Linked DNA regions of Sus scrofa. The protein of the gene in region 1 purifies or fractionates together with the protein of each later gene. This does not show direct contact. Links are inferred from orthologs where the notes say so. Each region holds a gene or a part of one and is shown in the gene's direction. Other genes may lie near its edges.

What was found.
Region 2: the proteins of ANKRD49 (region 1) and FKBPL purify together in Homo sapiens (affinity purification with mass spectrometry; 4 studies listed by BioGRID and IntAct, counting the BioPlex papers as one, with this or other methods). This does not show direct contact. The link is inferred for Sus scrofa from reciprocal best matches to the Homo sapiens genes ANKRD49 and FKBPL.

Annotation. Positions count from the first base shown.
Region 1 is NC_010451.4:26,640,071-26,643,099, forward strand, and holds the end of ANKRD49 (ankyrin repeat domain-containing protein 49), read left to right. Parts: intron 1-959; coding exon 960-1,421; 3' UTR 1,422-2,450; downstream 2,451-3,029. UniProt on the Homo sapiens protein: Induces HBG1 expression. May have a role in spermatogenesis where it promotes autophagy in response to serum starvation, via the NF-kappaB pathway.
Region 2 is NC_010449.5:24,171,511-24,174,737, reverse strand, and holds FKBPL (FK506-binding protein-like), read left to right. Parts: upstream 1-1,427; coding exon 1,428-2,477; downstream 2,478-3,227. Other genes in the region: ATF6B (cyclic AMP-dependent transcription factor ATF-6 beta), read left to right, coding at 2,996-3,134. UniProt on the Homo sapiens protein: May be involved in response to X-ray. Regulates p21 protein stability by binding to Hsp90 and p21.

The DNA of each region.
Region 1 (3,029 bases):
ATTATCCCTTCTGTGTATAATATGTTACATCTGCTCCCCGCAGCCTCCCATTCTCTTTGAAACACTTTTTTTTTTTTTTTTTTTTTTTTTTTTTTTTTTTTTTTTTTTTTTTTTTTTTTTTTTTTTTTTTTTTTTTTTTTTTTTTTTTTTTTTTTTCCTATGAGATAGGCACTATTTTTCCCTTTTACAGATGAAGAAGTTGAGATTTGGGAATATTAATTTACCCAGAGTCATCCAAGTAGGATGATCTTAATATCAAAAATCTATTCTTCCCACTTGGCCACTTCTACCTTGTTTAACTCAGCTCCTCCATGTCTGTGTTAATAAACTAATACCTAAGAAATCTTGCATTTGGGGGTAACTTTTTAACCCAAGAGCAGACTGCATCCCACCAGAGGTCCTCAAACCAAACGTAAAGCCACTCCCAGAAAACATGTGTCTCAGGTTGTTTTAGTTAGAAGGAATCGAGCTTCTTAATCTCTAGATTTCCTTGTTACCATGGCATTCTACTGATGAAAGTTTATTTTTTCAGGTTTTATACTTTGTGAAAGTATATTGTTTTGATAACCTTACTACAAAAGATCCGTCTGTTCCATTATTATGTCTTCATCACAGATGAAATATAAAACGTTAAATATAACTCTAGCCTGTATTATTCGTCCAGGACCACAGCTTTTGTGCAATAAGACTTCCTTGGACCAGGAGTAAGTGTCTGGTTTGGTATTCAGAGAATCCCGTGCTCAGAATCAGCAGTTTCTGGTGAATACTAACTTGTTATGGTTAGTTGCCCTCTACCCCACCTCCCAAAGAAAAATGTGATTTTTCTTTTGCAGTCGTCTACTACCAAGGAAGTTTCTAGCTAACTTAACTCAACCTAACACCACTAGACACTTGAATTTTCTTGGTCTCGCGTTGCGTTTTGCGTTGGGTGTTTAAAAGAGCTCTCACTTCCCTCTCAGCTTAGCACTGTGCGGAGACTGCTTTCAGAAAAGGCCACCCACGTGAACACTCGAGATGAAGACGAGTACACGCCACTCCATCGAGCAGCCTACAGCGGCCACTTGGACGTGGTCCGCGAGCTCATCGCGAACGGGGCAGACGTTCATGCCGTGACGGTGGACGGCTGGACACCCCTGCACAGTGCGTGTAAGTGGAACAACACCAGAGTGGCTTCTTTCTTACTGCAGCACGACGCGGACATCAACGCCCAAACAAAAGGCCTCTTGACCCCCTTACATCTTGCGGCTGGAAACAGAGACAGCAAAGACACCCTGGAACTCCTCCTGATGAACCGCTACATCAAACCGGGGCTGAAGAACAACCTGGAAGAAACGGCGTTTGACATCGCCAGGAGGACGAGTATCCATCACTACCTCTTTGAAATCGTGGAAGGCTGCACAAATTCTTCACCTCAGTCTTAACGGTTCTAAGAACTTTCTTAAGTTTCTACGTCCCAGTGCCTCCTTTTGTGTGAGATGTGAAGTATCCCCATAACACAAGGTTGCCGTCCAATGTCTTAAGACAGTGATTCCGTGGTACTCAAGATCCCACCCTTCCAAGTGGACTGCCTGACCTTGACGTCAACATATATTAGAAAGTTGTTTGGATCTATCCTCTAATGATTTCCGTGGAGTTTGTGCTTTTTATCACATCATTTTAACTTACCTATACTGAAAAACTTGTCACAGGTTGTACAGAAAACTAATGATATTTTTGGTGCTGACCCAAGAGAAATGTATTTTTAAATATCCCCATCCTAGATCTTTGTTGAGTATTTAGTATACTGACATGTATTTTTATAAGGTAAGGTAACTCAGAATTTCATTTAAAAGTCTTAAATACACAGGTGCAGTTCAGCAATCTTCTCTGCATTACCAATAGCCATTTGCTTTCATTGGAAACCGTAAGATTCAAGTGACTTACAAAAAAAAAAATCAAGAAACTTAAATCTTTGTCTTTTAGAACCTAGACCATTTCTGGGAAATAGTCAGCTAGGTGTTTAATCCACGAATGTTCTCTACTGGCCCACTGACCACAGTCTACACAGTCCTGTGGACCGTGCTACCTCGCCCTGTTCAACCTGCACCACCCTTCTTTCTGCTGGTGAGTCAGCAGGACCCTTCAGACACTCTCCCAGCCGTACCTTGGCCCAGGAGGCCAGCATATACCTGCTCTCCAGCTAGTTTCACCTGCCTGCTCCTGCTGATCTGGGCACGGCTCAGCTAGTCTCTCAAGTTCACAGGAAGTGTTCTTTTCCAGGGTCCTCTCACTGTACAAACCACACAAAGTGACAAGGGAAAGGGAATTCGAAGAGTGAAGGGATGATGATTCTATCGGAGCTAGAACCCCAAAGTGGCTCAAGCTCTTATTAAAGGCCACAGTGTGGATAGCAACAAAAGCTTAAATATAACTATTCCAAAAAAATAAAACATTTTGGACAACCAAAAAAAGCATGAATTCTTTTTTTACCTGTGTATCTCTTCCCTGGATCCACAGCATACATTATTTAGTATAATATGCATATATATAATACACATTTTATACATTTAATATAATATACATTTGGTATAACATACATTTATTGAGTATCTACTCTCTTCAGCAGCGGTTTCCCATTGCCTACTTAGCCCCTCTGTGACTAAACCAAAGGGTTTTCTCTTAACTTCCCAAAACCAGAACTAACACGGGAAAGGTAACTAAACCAGTAGCCCTTTGCTTTGGTTATTTTTGTGTGTGTATAGATATATGTGAGTTATCTAAAAATTATACATGTTACCAATTCACCGGAATTTTAAAAAACCAAGCAAAAAGTCAGTTGTAATTGCAAGGGGCAGTTTCTCCATTAAATGACAGAGTAGGAAACTGGAGTTCCCACTGTGGCTCAGCAGGTTAAGAATCCAACTAGTATCCATGAGGATGCGGGTTAGATCCCTGGCCTTGCTCAGTAGGTTAAAGGATCCAGCATTACCATGAGCTGTTGTGTAGGTTGCAGACGCAGCTTGGATCTCTTATTGCTGTGGCTGTGGTGT
Region 2 (3,227 bases), on another chromosome or scaffold:
GAGAGGGAGCCAAAATGAGGAACTGAGAGTGGGGTTCTCCTTTCCAGAACTGTGGTGGCCCAGCCTGTGCAGGGAGCTGGGCAAGCAAGGCTGAACCACAGAGGGACCAGCACCTTTCACTAGGAAGAGGAGGACCGGTTTTCCACTGACACTTCCAGTGGAGCAGGTTATACCAGTTATATATGTAAAATATAAGACAAACTAAAGGGGCACAGACCAAAGGGTGAAGAGAATGGGATGAAGTTATTCCAGAATCATGTTATTCAAAGTGGGGTGGGACCAAGAGCAGCAGCAACAAAGAGCCTGTTAGAAATGCAGAATTGCAGGCCCCATCTTAGACTTCCTAATTCAGAAGGCGCCATTTAACAAGTTCCTCAGAGGATGTGTATGCACATCGAAGTTTGAAAACCACTAAGATTTCTTGAGGAAGAAGACTTCTAAAGGCATTGATGAACAAGAGGGGAAAGGTAAGGCAAGCCTCAGGTAGTTCCCCAAGGGAATAGGACAGGCTGGGGAGAAATAGAGTTTATTTGTTAGCACCCTGGATTGAATGCGTGAAGGAGCAGACAGGTTGATTGGCTGGGAGCCTTGAGACCAGCAATATGAATAGCACAGGTGGGCCTGAAGTCGCCATGCGGGCCCTCGTCGCTACCGCTATCATTCACCACCAGCTCCACCATTCCCCACCCTATCCTCATTCGCCCCAATCTCCCACTCCAGGCCTTCTCCAGACTTTAACTCTCAATAGCCAGGCTAGCTCGACCTCGCCTAGTTCAGTTCGATTTGGCCTAGTTCGGTTGCTAAGGCCTGGAGCTTCCCGGTTGCTGGGGGAGGGGAGGGAAATGATGTCACGTCCAGAAGGCGGGCTAACCAGACCTCTCCCTCCTCCCGATTGGTTGCCGGGAACTTGAGTAGATTCGCTTTCACGCGGGCTCCAGGGTTAGCCGTTAGTGTCTCTCCTCAGCTGTCCCCTGCTCCCCCTGACCGTCCTCTCCGCCCGAAGCAAAACTCTAATGACAGTGCTCAGTAGAGCTTAGCTTCGGAAGGAGAGGTGATTCGAATGGTCGGGCTACCGCCACCAGGAGAGGCACTTCGGCCGCCCAGGTACTTTTTGACTCGCTCGGGTATCCGTAGTTGGGACAGTGGCTCAAGCCGCGGGAATTGTGGAACTTATAGTTCGAATTAGTTCGGGGTTGGGAGGTAGGCTCGAATCCGACAGAGATTTTGAGGAGGGGGGAAAAAAAAGAGAGAACTTTAAGGACCGGAGGCCTGGATCCCAGAAGGACAGAAAAGAAGTCTAAATAAGATTCCTGCCAATAGCATTGTTTTGATTTTTTTTTCTTTTTTAATCAGGTGCTGATCTGAATCTGATCCATACCTTTCTGACCAAAACTGTTTACCCACGGTGGAAGGGACTGGGTACCCAAATGGAGACGCCACCAGTCAGTCCACTGGGAGAGAAGAACATTTCTCAACCGCAACAACGATGGAAAAAGAACTCCCAGAAGATCCTTGATTCAACTACTCAGATTAGGCAGCAGCCCCAAGACCCTTCTACTGAACTTCTTGAGGGGAGAGTGAGCCCAGATCCAGCCGGCCAAATTCTAGAAAATCTTCAAGAAATTGAAAAGCTGGCCGTTGGACGTGAAGGAGATTCTGATAAATCTCATGGACCAGCCAGTGAGATGCCAGAGCCCCTTCAAGCTTCTGAACTCTGGTACTGCCCCGATGGGAGCTTTGTCAAAAAGATCCTAATCCATGGCCACGGCTTGGACAAACCCAAGCTGGGCTCCCGCTGCCGGGTACAGGTTTTGGGATTTCCTTTGGGGTCAGGGCTGCCAGAGGGCTGGACAGAGCTAACTATGGGGTTAGGCCCATGGAGGGAGGAAACTTGGGGAGAGCTTGTAGAGAAGTGCTTGGAGTCCATGTGTCAAGGTGAGGAGGCAGAACTTCAGCTCCCTGGGCGCTCTGGACCTCCTGTCAGGCTCAAACTGGCCTCCTTCACTCAAGGCCGGGACTCCTGGGAGCTAGAGCCCACCGAAAAGGAGGCCCTGGCCAGGGAAGAACGTGCACGGGGCACAGAATTATTTAGAGCTGGGAACCCTGAAGGGGCTGCCCGATGCTATGGACGGGCTCTTCGGCTGCTGCTGACTTTACCTCCACCTGGCTCTCCAGAACGAACTGTCCTTCATGCCAATCTGGCTGCCTGTCAGTTGCTGCTAGGGCAGCCCCATTTGGCAGCCCAGAGCTGTGACCGGGTGCTGGAGCGGGAGCCTGGCCATTTAAAGGCCTTGTACCGAAGGGGGGTTGCCCAGGCTGCTCTTGGGAACCTGGACAAAGCAACTGCTGACCTCAAGAAAGTGCTGGCAGTAGACCCCAAAAATCGGGCAGCCCAGGAGGAGCTGGGAAAGGTGATCATTCAAGGGAAGAAACAAGATGCAGGACTGGCTCAGGGACTGCGCAAGATGTTTGGCTAATTAAAAGTTAAACCTTAAAAGAGACAGGAACCTGTGAATTGTGGTCTATGTTGTGAGTTTTGGGGGGAGGGGCCAGTGGGAGGATTTCACCCACATACTTTTACCAGCTTTTGCCTTCCTAGGGAAGGTAGCAGTGGTCTTAGTGTATGTACCTCTTTACCGTTTTACCATGAAAAAGCCTTATGGTCACGTGTGGTATATTTTGCGGGGCTTATCTATCTCCAAAGATGAACACAAGCTATCTAAACTTCTAAATTCAGTACTGTTTGGGGGAGACGGCGAACCTTCAAAACCCGGTACCTACGTTTCCTAGGCGCTTTCAGGCTGGGTCCGGCTTGGCGCACGCGCAAACTTCACTGCCTGGTATTGCGGAGGTGCTAGCCTCCGGGGCGCTCCTATTGGCCGGTCCTATACAGCCACCGCCTATATTGTCTCACGTGCTCAATACCCAGGTCTCTTACTGGTTGGGAGAGCTTCCGGGGCGTTCCCCCACTTTTGAGGAGCCAGCCGATTAGTTGATGATGGGAGAGGCGGGCCTTGGGAACTGTCTCGTGGTTGGGGGGTGGGGGGGAAAGATGGCGGAGCTGATGCTCCTCAGCGAGATTGCGGACCCGACGCGTTTTTTCACCGACAACTTGCTGAGCCCGGAGGACTGGGGTGTGCGGAGTGAGGCCTCGGGGAGGGGAGGGGGCTGTGGCATATTGTGCCCCTGAGGCACGCAGGAGGAAGCGGAGGCCCAAAGAGGAAGGC